Linked DNA regions of Saccharomyces cerevisiae S288C. The protein of the gene in region 1 purifies or fractionates together with the protein of each later gene. This does not show direct contact. Each region holds a gene or a part of one and is shown in the gene's direction. Other genes may lie near its edges.

The links.
Region 2: the proteins of RRP17 (region 1) and NOG1 purify together in Saccharomyces cerevisiae (affinity purification with mass spectrometry; 4 studies listed by BioGRID). This does not show direct contact.
Region 3: the proteins of RRP17 (region 1) and RLP7 purify together in Saccharomyces cerevisiae (affinity purification with mass spectrometry; 4 studies listed by BioGRID). This does not show direct contact.

What each region holds. Positions count from the first base shown.
Region 1 is NC_001136.10:1,291,578-1,296,833, forward strand, and holds RRP17 (rRNA-processing protein RRP17), read left to right. Parts: upstream 1-3,115; coding exon 3,116-3,823; downstream 3,824-5,256. Other genes in the region: SUMO ligase SIZ1, read left to right, coding at 1-543; STE14 (protein-S-isoprenylcysteine carboxyl O-methyltransferase), read right to left, coding at 795-1,514; DFM1 (Dfm1p), read right to left, coding at 1,792-2,817; ERD1 (Erd1p), read right to left, coding at 4,021-5,109. UniProt on the Saccharomyces cerevisiae protein: Essential protein involved in ribosomal RNA processing.
Region 2 is NC_001148.4:369,044-373,421, forward strand, and holds NOG1 (putative GTPase NOG1), read left to right. Parts: upstream 1-1,934; coding exon 1,935-3,878; downstream 3,879-4,378. Other genes in the region: EEB1 (medium-chain fatty acid ethyl ester synthase/esterase), read right to left, coding at 1-398; Sec63 complex subunit SEC62, read right to left, coding at 796-1,620. UniProt on the Saccharomyces cerevisiae protein: Involved in the biogenesis of the 60S ribosomal subunit.
Region 3 is NC_001146.8:625,674-628,757, reverse strand, and holds RLP7 (Rlp7p), read left to right. Parts: upstream 1-1,615; coding exon 1,616-2,584; downstream 2,585-3,084. Other genes in the region: ribosome dissociation factor DOM34, read right to left, coding at 142-1,302; PET8 (Pet8p), read left to right, coding at 2,929-3,084. UniProt on the Saccharomyces cerevisiae protein: Involved in the biogenesis of the 60S ribosomal subunit. May act as a specificity factor that binds precursor rRNAs and tethers the enzymes that carry out the early 5' to 3' exonucleolytic reactions that generate the mature rRNAs.

The sequences.
Region 1 (5,256 bases):
AGTTATACTGCATCGATATCAGATTCATTTGTCCAGCCTCAAGAATCTTCAGTTTTTCCACCACGTGAACAGAATATGGATATGTCCTTTCCTTCCACCGTGAACTCAAGATTTAATGATCCACGTTTGAATACCACAAGATTCCCTGATTCAACATTGCGTGGGGCAACTATTTTGTCGAATAATGGGCTTGATCAAAGGAATAACTCTCTACCAACAACAGAAGCAATCACGAGGAATGACGTCGGGCGACAAAATTCTACGCCTGTACTTCCCACGTTGCCCCAGAACGTCCCAATTCGTACAAACTCTAACAAGTCTGGGCTTCCTTTGATAAACAATGAAAACAGTGTCCCCAATCCTCCCAACACTGCAACCATACCGTTGCAGAAGTCCAGACTCATTGTAAATCCATTCATTCCAAGGAGGCCTTACTCTAATGTACTGCCCCAAAAAAGACAACTTTCTAATACATCCTCAACTTCACCCATAATGGGTACATGGAAAACGCAAGATTATGGAAAGAAATACAACAGTGGTTAAAAACGAGGCTAAAATTGGACGGTTCCGTCCAGCTCTTTCATGAAATATTTTCTTTGTAATTGTGCATATGACCTTCATTTTCTATAATTTTCCGTTCGAAAAAGAAATATTTTCTTCTTTTCAATACTCAAAGGCAATATCACTGTTTGCATTCCCCTAGCATTTATTACCTACCAAATACAGATGCACAAGATTAGATAAAATCTTACATAACACAAAAATCCAGTCCATAACTAACACAATCATTACTATTATATAAAAGGTATTCCGACACCAACCTTATTCTTGTATTCTATGTATTCCGCGCTAAAGAACTCTATCAAATATTTTTCTTCCACACGAATTCTATCACTGAAAAATTTCCAAAGTACAAAAATGAAAATAACCAATGATAGGGGATTTAGAAGCAGTAGCTGAGTGCCAATTGCCCACCAAAAGAACCCAAGATAACTTGGATGTCTTGACCAGGAGTAAACGCCAGTTTTCACTAAAACATGATCGGACTCCTTCTTGGTCTTCACAATATGAGAAAAGGAATGTCCCGCAGTATGCATAGCAATAGTTCTGGTATATTGTCCCAGAATAACTAGAAGACATCCAAGTACTGTACAAAGCTTGGTAGCTAGAGAGTAGCTAAAAATTTTCAGATCAGGAAAAAGAAAGCTTTCTACGAGGCATTCCAGAATAGCAAAGGAATGTGCCGCCATGTAACTTTTGCCGTTGTTCAGAAGAAAGGACTCTGAATGTACCTTAAGAGGATTGTATTTAGCTGTAATATAATACTCCAAAAAATGGAATAAGGACAGGGCAATAATAAAGAGGTTAAAATTCTTGAATCTAATTTGTGGAAAAAGACCAACAAATATACCTAAAAGAATCCCCAGTATGTAGGAAGTCATGGTCACCTCATGCAGCGGATTGCGTCTGATGTCTGGATACTCATGCTCGTCTTCTTGAAAATCTTGGTGCATGTTGTGTTCAAAAACGGTGACCACAATGAAAGAGGAGGTAAAAAGAGTAATTATCTTGAAATCGATTTTCACTTTCTTATATAATTCATCAACACGAGAACCTTTCTATATACTGGTGGTATCATGTAAAGAATTGTTTTACCATAGTGGCCCATTTGTCAATTCGTCTTGAGTGATGTTTCATTATCAATCGGTTGCTATGCCAACGAAAATACTATGTCAGACTCTCTTGATGTATATAATGAATGGCAAAGTACATAGAAATAGATAAAAGTTGTTATTGTGAGTCGGAGGGGCTGTTTGTTTGTCCTACTCGTTGGCCGCGGCCTTGAAATTGGTTCAAATTCGATGGGCCACTTCTTAATTGACTTCCAGAAGCTCTGCCTGAATCTGTGCCACTGGTTTGAGACAATGTTGCAGGGGCCGTACCCAATCGTTGACCTCTTCCACTAAAAGTTCTCGTTTCTCTTTGCGAAGATGGCACATTGGCAAAGTTGTTGTTGAATGTTGCAGTTTCATTGTGGGCACCCGTTATGCGAGCATATAGACTAGTAAACCACCATGGCGTTGAGAATTTCCCATTGGGCGAGATTCCGTAGGTTGGATCAGCTTTTCTGGATATCATCCCCCATATTGGCCCCAGTGTATGGGTATCTAAGCATGTATAAAGGTACCCTGTAGTAAAACCGATCAATGAGATTACGAAATCACCCTCATTAAAAACGAAAGAGATAAACAATTGAATTAAGGGGAAGTACTTCCCCCAAACAGGAATCAAACCATAAAACATGATCTGCACGTTGGCATTGTCGATCGACCAAGTATATGTAATGCATGATATGAACCCAGAGGTGAGCACAACAGGGTAGTAGGACCCATAAATGATTGTAGTGGCCGTAGTGATGGCTAGTATACAAAAGCACAGGTAGTAGGCATAGTCTACTGTTACCATCGGTCCTCGTCTATTGGACAAACCGGGACCAAAATGCCCTCGCTCCAACTGTGAGGACCTGTCATAAATACTATATAGTTCCATTAGCGCAGGCATGGCACGAGACGAAAGCATTACACAAGAAGTAAGAAGTCTCCATATCTGAACCTTCTTGAACGTCAAATTCCAAACATAAATAAAGTACCACGGATTGATTAGATTCAACCGGCCGACGATCGTCATAACGATCGCTAGAGTAAATAAAGTTCTTGTTATTGGGGGGATATTTAACCAGAATTCTTTTGGGCCCATCACATCATTATTACGGCCTCCATTTCCATGTAATGTACGCACATTCCTTGGGCCTGCCATTATTTCCTCGAAAATAGTTTTTGATTTGACTTGGAAATGCGGAATTCACTGGTAATTTGTTGTATTTTGCCTTATATCCTTTGTTTGATACTCTTGTCTTATATTGAAGAGGACACGATTTCATGAGCCGCGAACGGGTAAGTAGGGACTTTTCACATTTGAAATTTTTCAAATGTGATGAGGATCGATTCTGCAAAGCAGCAGATAATAGCAGATAAAAAATAGAGAGTTGCAATATTCAAGTTCCTGGTAGCTGCTCGAATCAAGAGGGGTGAATTAAAGGTTTTCGATTTTTGCTATGGCTGTTCACACCAATAGGCAAATCCTTACAAGAGGCAAAAACTATGCTACAAAGCAATCAAAGAAATTCGGTACCGATGAGGTGACGTTCGACAAGGATTCTCGTTTGGATTATCTGACTGGCTTTCACAAGAGAAAGCTTCAAAGACAAAAGAAAGCACAAGAGTTTATTAAGGAGCAGGAAAGGCTTAGAAAAATTGAAGAAAGACAGAAGATTCGGCAGGAACGTAAGGAGGTGATGGAAGAACAGTTAAAGACGTTTAAAGAGAGTTTAAACTTGGAAGCTGAGATAGAGGATGCGAAAAATGATAAGACGGAGGATTTGCAGGTAGAATCTGATGAATCCTGGCACGGGTTTGATTCTGATAAAGATGACGGCGATAACGACAATAATGAAAGTAGCGTAAAGCCTATTTTGAAGAAAGGAGCAATCACGGAAATATACGATGACTCAACTACTGTTGAATTGGAGACATTGGAACCCAATGATAACTTTGAATATTTAGCCCAGCTAAATAATGTCAAATTAGAAAAGGCAGAAAAAGTACTCAAACAAAGCATAAATAGAGCCACCAAATACGCGAAGTTTCTGGGCGTGGATGAGAAACAAAAGAAGAAGCCAAGAGTAAAAAAGTTCAGATATTTGACCAAAAATGAACGAAGAATAAACCAAAGAAAGGCAAACGACAACAAGCGTAGGAGATAATGCAGTCGCATTATCGTCGGGCACCGCCTGGGGTTTCTTGACGCTCAAACAGTGTTTGATTTTTTTTTGGAAAAGTATATACTGTGCATATGTATTTTTCGTTTATTATATGTAATATATCGAATAAACCATTCTACGGGGAAAATAGAACAAATATTTACAGCATTTGCATGATTTTATATGGCTTGCCCAACAAATTATTTGCTTGCAAACTTAATATAATACTCTGCGTCCAATTTGAAAACGACCCATATGCCTCTTCTAATTACTTCGAAATACTGCATTTCGCCTTGGAAAAAAATGTAGTCGCTATCTGCGGCAACTAATTTCAGATTCTGCGATAAATATACCCATAGCCACCAGAACCTCAGCAAAAAGTCAACGAGAATCGCCGAATGATACATTTTTTTCTTTAATGTGACGGCACTTTTGGATCTGGATCTTAAAGAGGTTAACGAGTCCAATGACCAATCCATCCTTACATCCCAAAATAACGTATAGGAAGAATTAATTAGCATAAACCATCTTTGAACGTGGTGTAGTCTTTCTTCGTTGATGGATCCCTCATACACTCTTGATCTCCAGGTGCAAAAAAGAATGGGAAGATTACAACTGTATTTCAATGCATTGAATAGTAAAGTTGCTTCGTGCAGTAAACGGTATTCTCTCAAACACTGCAGTAGTCTTACCAGTACAGGAAGAAGGGCTACGGATAGATCAAAATGTGTGAAGGGTTCTCTAAAAATTAGAGAGGTAAACAATGTGAAGTCTATCAATGGTTTTGCAAACGATGTCAACGTGTCAGAGATTAAAATGTAGGTATTCCTTAAGGAACGGGGGGAGGATTCTATCAACAAACATCTCCTAGTACAATATTTTATTATCTGGCACTCTTTCAACAGAAACCAAAATATAGTGACACATTGGATCAATGGTAGAAAATATACGATGAGAATGATATTTTTGAGTGGACCTTCTATAATATTCATGAACTCAAAAAGGAACACAGTGGCAAAGTGGAACGGTATAATAATCCTTGTTATCTTCAAAGCAAAATTTCTAGCTGTTCTATGCAATTGCTGTAGAGTATAACCTGGACGTATATCGTGCGGTACTCTCGTGAGTATGACTTGGGATACGTCTAAATTACTATGCAAGAAGAATTTTAATATCCATGTCCAGATCCAAAGGGCAAGTATTATGAGCACAATAAATCGCTGCGGAGGGGGAACATTTAATATATTTTGGAGATAAAGTCCTTCAGAATTACTTTCGCTTTTCTCCATATTTTGCGGCCCAACTTGTTGCAGAATTGAAAACTTTGTATAATACTAATAATAATTTATAATAATAACAATAATAATTTATAACAATAATAACAATGCCAAACAATTTATATGGGTAACCAGTTTTTGGTACTGTTTGCCATCAAT
Region 2 (4,378 bases), on another chromosome or scaffold:
TCGTTCGAAAATTGTTTCTCGTTAAAACTAGCCTTTTCAGCATTTAATGAATATGTTTGCTCCCATTCAGGCATAACCCAATCTGCAGTGCAGACCCCTCCATCAGAAAATTTTATAATCTCTCTTCCATAAAATACCTGAAATTTTTTGGAAAAATCACCGGCTGACAAATAAAGGGTCTGTAAGTAACCTGTGAAAAGCAAGCTGTTTAACCTAAAATTTGCACCATCTTTGAGTGTAGGCACGTGTTTGGTTACGAATTCATGAAGAGGAATTTGGCGCTTAGAATCTCTGAAAGCCAAAGACTTGGTTCCTTTCTCTCCCAGTACATGTTTGACGGTGCCGTTATAGCCCCAATGGCTAGGAGTGACAGTTGGATAGTAACCCGAGCGAAACATTAAAATGACAAATATGAAAATACTTGATATCTTGATCTTTTTGCTAATCTTCAAAAATACCGAAAACTAAGTAGGCAACCAGATGCAGAACCCTTCTTATATAATCGATTCCTGTAAGCAAGTGTCAGCAAATAGCTTCTATATAGAGACCTTTCGGTGAAAGTATATTAAAGCCGGCCGGAAATTGAGTAATAATAACCGCTAATTATGCGGTGTGTGGATTCAGATTTTTGCCAGGAGCGATAACCTTCAAATCTAAAACTACTCACTATAAGCGATGAAGCAACCAGATGGTAGCGCTTTGGTGCCGGTTCTCTTGAAGGTTTGTACATGTGCGAGTTCATGAGGTTACAATATAGAAGGTTTATACAGTAGAGCTATACAGGATAATGGAAGTTCAGTTTTGTTCGGCTTTTTCATTGATGGCTTTCTTCTTATTGCTTTCTCTCTTGGCTTGTTTCTTCTTCATTCTTTTCAGTTTCTTTTTGTAACTATAAGTATCCTTCTCACCAAAACCGTAAAGTGGCTTAAAACTCTCTAGTACACCGCAATCTTCGAACAGGTTGGGAAAGATCCAGAACCCACCAACATCTTTGTAGACAATTAATGACAAAACATATAATATCAATCTCAGGATAGCGACAGCAAAGAAGCCTGCTAAGATGCCGAAGGCACCCAGAGACACATAATAGGAGCCGCGTCTCATGGAGCGCGGCCACAATGGGTAGCATACGAGCGCCAATATGATGGACACGACACCAATGACGATCAAGTAATCCATGTAGGTTCTAGGGTTATAGTTCCAAACAAAGTATTCATCGGCTTCCAATTGTGCTTTATTCGAAACAATCAAGTGCGGAAAGTCCTTGCTTGGCTTCAATCCATGCTCTTTGCATTCTTGACTATGCAATTTTTTCACTGGGATCACCATTTGTGCCTTTATAAGTTGAATAAAGATTTCACGTGACTTAAGCTGGTCTTCGATCTTGTTAGAAGGTATAGTTGGATATATCTCTGGCTGTCTTGCAGATTTGTTGGCATACTCCTCAGAATGCAGTGCCCTAACAAATCTCTTGTAACGGAAGAAGTCTGTCTGCTTGGCCTGGAATAAACCCTGCCTTTGCTTCAACTCCTTATGGTTGCGTAAAAGAGTAGCAATGGCTGTAGCAGATCCGCCATTGACACTAGCACCTGCATTGCTACCTGGACCTACGGCTGACATGTTCTCCTGTGTTTGCTCGGCTACCATACTGCATTCAACTGCAATTATAAAAGCCCACTCTTCTCCCTCTTGATTTGTATGCCAGTATTGGGAAAACGACACGTCTATTCCGTCGCACACGATCTTCACTTTCTTTTTTTTTTTCAACTGAACGAAAAGTTTTTTCCGCAGCTCATCGCAAAGAAAAATTTTCACCTATGTACTACCTCATCTAATACAATATAAAGAATACACTTCAGATTTAGGAGTTGCAGCGTTTATAAAAAAGTAAGTGTACCCTCCAAAAGCAAACACATCTCCCTCCTATACCGAAGATGCAACTTTCATGGAAGGATATCCCTACTGTCGCTCCAGCAAATGATTTGCTGGATATTGTCTTGAACAGAACCCAGAGAAAGACACCAACTGTGATCAGACCTGGTTTCAAGATTACAAGAATCAGAGCGTTCTATATGCGTAAAGTTAAATACACAGGTGAAGGTTTCGTGGAAAAATTTGAGGACATTTTAAAGGGTTTTCCTAACATCAATGACGTGCATCCTTTCCATAGAGATTTGATGGACACCCTATACGAAAAGAATCATTACAAGATATCTTTGGCAGCTATATCTCGTGCGAAGTCCCTTGTGGAACAAGTCGCCAGAGATTATGTCAGATTGCTAAAATTCGGTCAATCTTTATTTCAATGTAAACAATTGAAAAGGGCCGCTTTAGGTAGAATGGCAACTATAGTCAAGAAATTGAGGGACCCATTGGCCTATTTGGAACAAGTCAGACAGCACATTGGTAGATTACCATCGATCGACCCAAATACCAGAACCTTGCTGATCTGTGGTTATCCAAATGTCGGTAAGTCCTCGTTTTTGAGATGCATTACCAAATCAGACGTCGATGTTCAACCATATGCTTTCACAACCAAGAGTTTATACGTTGGTCATTTTGACTACAAATACTTGAGATTTCAAGCTATTGACACCCCTGGTATCCTAGATAGACCCACTGAAGAAATGAACAACATTGAAATGCAATCGATTTATGCCATTGCCCATTTACGTTCTTGTGTTTTGTACTTCATGGATCTTTCCGAACAATGTGGTTTCACCATCGAAGCTCAAGTTAAACTATTCCACTCCATCAAGCCTCTATTCGCCAACAAGTCTGTCATGGTTGTTATCAACAAAACCGACATTATCAGACCGGAGGATTTAGACGAAGAGCGTGCACAATTACTGGAATCTGTTAAGGAGGTTCCAGGTGTTGAAATCATGACTTCTTCATGCCAACTGGAAGAAAACGTTATGGAAGTTAGAAACAAAGCATGTGAAAAACTATTGGCTTCTAGAATTGAGAATAAGTTGAAATCTCAGTCTAGAATCAACAATGTTCTGAACAAGATTCATGTTGCTCAACCTCAAGCAAGAGATGATGTCAAGAGAACACCATTTATCCCAGAATCTGTCAAGAATTTGAAGAAATACGACCCTGAAGATCCAAACAGGAGAAAGTTGGCCAGAGACATCGAAGCTGAAAATGGTGGTGCTGGTGTCTTCAATGTTAACTTGAAGGACAAGTACCTATTAGAAGATGATGAGTGGAAGAATGACATCATGCCAGAAATCTTGGATGGTAAGAATGTTTATGATTTCTTGGACCCTGAAATCGCTGCTAAACTGCAGGCTCTTGAAGAAGAAGAAGAAAAATTGGAGAACGAAGGGTTCTACAATTCTGACGATGAGGAAGAAATCTACGACGGTTTCGAAGCATCCGAAGTAGATGATATCAAGGAGAAAGCTGCATGGATTAGAAATAGACAAAAGACGATGATTGCTGAAGCAAGAAATAGGAAGTCCTTGAAGAACAAAGCTATCATGCCACGTTCTAAACTAACTAAGTCCTTTGGTAAAATGGAAGAACACATGTCCACTTTGGGCCATGACATGTCAGCCTTACAAGATAAACAGAACCGTGCTGCTCGTAAGAACCGTTATGTTGAAAGAGGTTCTGATGTTGTTTTTGGCGACCAAGATGCTTTGACAGCTTCCACTGAAAACGGTGTCAAGTTGAGACAAACCGATAGACTGTTGGATGGTGTTGCTGATGGCTCCATGAGATCCAAGGCCGACAGGATGGCCAAGATGGAAAGAAGAGAAAGAAATAGACATGCCAAGCAAGGTGAATCTGATAGACACAATGCTGTTTCCTTATCAAAGCATTTATTCAGTGGTAAGCGTGGTGTCGGTAAGACAGATTTCCGTTGATTTCTCTACTTCTTATTCTTTCTTTTGCATGTACTTTAAAAAAAATATGAATATAAAATGTGGATGTACGTACACGACATTCTAATCTTTTTGGGCTGGTAGGATTACCATTTACATTTGATTATCTCTCTCACTATTAGTGGTTTCTTTTTCTTTCTTTCTCACTTTTTCTGTATCTTTTTTTTAAAAAAATTTTATTTAATCTGTATAATAATAATAAACCGATTTAAATTATCCAACAAGCCGACCCCTCCATGTTCTACTATTTTTTTGTATGTCACTGGATGTATACAAATAATTAAGCATGTGGAAAAAGAAGGGGTGGGATAGCGTCAAGATGACACTTCTACTTTTTTGTGACACATCATCATGCAACCTATCGAGTCTCCCACGAGGTTGACAAATAAGAAATTGTTATCGTTTTTGCAGTGTATCGTATAAGGCAACAATAGCGATGTCTCCCATCAATTGACTGATAAATTCCTGCAAACTATCATTTT
Region 3 (3,084 bases), on another chromosome or scaffold:
TAACTAGAACCATTTCACAACAACTCAATTAATTGCGGCTTCACATCTACTTGCTTATAGGGAAGAAGTAAAGAGAATAATCCGATTTATTATAGGGTTGCAAATTTTATGTGTACATTACTTTTTTCTTACATAGTAAATCTACTCCTCACCATCGTCTTCATCAAGATCGGGGAGCGGGTATTTTAGAATACAGGCTATACCCGTCAATTGATCAAGTTCTTCTCCAAGAGAATGCAAAGTACTTAATACCAATGCTTTTCCTCCATTGCTCTCTACGGAGTCCATCAGTTTCAAATATTCCTCTCTTTGTGCAATATTGTCTGAATGCAAAACTTTATCTGTTAACAGTAAATAACTAATTGCGCCATACTCAGCCGCTTTAACTACCTCTTTTTCACCATACCAAGCTTTATCATCATCCTTGTTTAAATGCAACAAAAATTCATCCATCACCATGATTTCTTTGGAGTATTTAGTATCTTGCAGCTTTGAAGCATATAGTGGATTTTTCAAAACTTCATTAATGCCCTGTAAGTAGCCCGTGGAGCAGTGGGCTATAAAGAACATTCCTTTGTTATCGAGTATTTTCTTATTGTGTTCCTCTTCGGCATACTGGAAAATTTTGTCCATTAATATCTTAGCGTAGAAACCTGGAGAGCAAAGAATAATAGTCTTTAATTTATCAAAATTCAAATCTTTCTTCATTGCACTGTAAATTGCTTTATAAAATTTCTCAGTTTTTTCATCAAACTTCAGTACATCAGTAGTCCTTTTCTTTTTTGGCATACTATATTCAATTTTTTGTTTTAAAATAGTAGAGGAGGATGTCACTAAACAAACATGGGCGATCCCTTCCTGTAAAACGACCGCCGCGGTGTCTGATTTATACTCGATATTACAGGCTTCATTTAAGAGCTTTTGCATGAATTTATTAAAGTTTTGTTTTATGATAGTAAAGGGATACACGTAGTCAAGGGTAAAGCTCAAATATTTGCCGACAGGTATGTCAACATTACTAGCTCCACTTTCATCTGTAACAGTAACACCTTTATATTTCAAATATTCATCCTTCATATCAAAATCCTCGGATATTACTTTAATCTTCAACTTGACCAAATCTGTACTTTTTTTCTTACCAGCTTCATCAAGTTTAGAGGTGAATTTTTTCTTGAATATCAACTCGTCATCTTTGTCTACTATTTGATAAACAGTAAACAGATCTTCCTTGTCCTCCGGTAAAAGAGTAATCACTGCTCCTCCTTTGTTAAAAGAATCCTTTTTCAGACTAATAACCTTCATATTTTTGCTATGATAGGAATGCGATAATTGAACAAAATGACAACGATGCAGCAACGAATGCTTAATTTTTTGGGATCTTCATTAAATTACATTTTACATTAATATACAAAACTAGGTGAATATTGAATAATGTATGTACACTTTCATCACGCAGTACGGATTTTTGGTAAAAAGAAAATTTTTTTCAGCTCTGCTTAAAAAAAGCTGGGAAGCGATGAGATGAGAAAAGTCTAAGTTGTTTGGTACTTTCGTTATTAAGTTCCTAGAAAGAAGAGGCTGCCACAGGGAAAAAGAATAAGATATACAAGTCACAATGTCTTCAACTCAAGACAGTAAAGCGCAAACTCTTAATTCTAATCCAGAAATTCTTTTGAGGAAAAGAAGAAATGCTGATAGAACTAGAATCGAAAGACAAGAATTAGCTAAGAAAAAGAGGGAAGAACAAATCAAAAAAAAGAGAAGTAATAAGAACAAATTTGTCAGAGCTGAAAGTATAGTTGCAAAGACTTTGGCTACCTCTAGGGAAAAGGAAAGAATTAAAAGAGTGTCTATATTAGAAGATAAGAAGGCAAAGAATGAAACGCAGCATATTGCATCTGGGAAAGATTTTATTCTGAAAATAACAGAAAAAGCTAATGGCGCCGAAGAGAACTCTGTCGACTTGGAGGAGACTGAAGAAGAAGAAGACGATGGTTTAATCAGAGAAAAGACTACTTACGATGGCAAACCTGCTTTACTTTTCATTGTCAGAGTAAGAGGTCCGCTTGCTGTAAATATTCCAAACAAAGCATTTAAGATTTTGTCTTTGCTAAGATTAGTTGAAACTAATACTGGTGTTTTCGTCAAATTGACCAAAAACGTATATCCGTTGCTCAAGGTTATTGCGCCATACGTAGTGATTGGCAAGCCTTCTTTATCTTCTATCCGTTCCTTGATTCAAAAGAGAGGTAGAATAATCTATAAGGGTGAGAATGAGGCTGAACCTCACGAAATAGTTCTTAATGACAACAATATTGTCGAGGAGCAATTAGGAGATCATGGAATAATTTGTGTTGAAGATATTATTCATGAGATTGCCACTATGGGTGAGTCTTTTTCTGTTTGTAACTTCTTCTTACAACCATTCAAGTTGAATAGAGAAGTATCTGGATTTGGTTCTTTGAATAGGCTAAGGAAAATAAAACAGCGGGAGGCTGAATCAAGAACTCGTCAATTTTCAAATGCAGCTACAGCACCAGTTATCGAAGTTGACATTGACTCTTTATTAGCCAAGTTGAATTAATTAAGAGAGTATTTTAAAATTGTATAGTACATAGGTTGTTAGTTATCTAATGCCATTGAAGGAGCAGATATTGAGCTTTTGCATATAATTAGTGGTGCCTCATGGATTGAAGAATATACGTATTTTGGCAAGTTTATTGGTTTTTAGTTTATGTATCGGCAAAAGCACGGGCGCCTCTTTTTTTCCTCGCTTACTGAGCGCTGTTTTGTATATAAATACATTTGCAGTGGGGTGCACCCTCGAGAATATATGAGATCATTAAAGCTCCACTTGTTGTAAATTGTTTGGCGATTTTATATGTTTAGACACACCGATGAACTAAAATTCGCTTTGAAAAGTTTGCTATGAATACTTTTTTTCTTTCCTTGCTAAGTGGCGCCGCTGCTGGTACCTCTACGGATTTGGTTTTTTTCCCTATAGACACAATTAAAACCAGGCTTCAAGCTAAGGGTGGATTCTTTGCTAATGGAGGATACAAAGGCATATATCGTGGTTTGGGA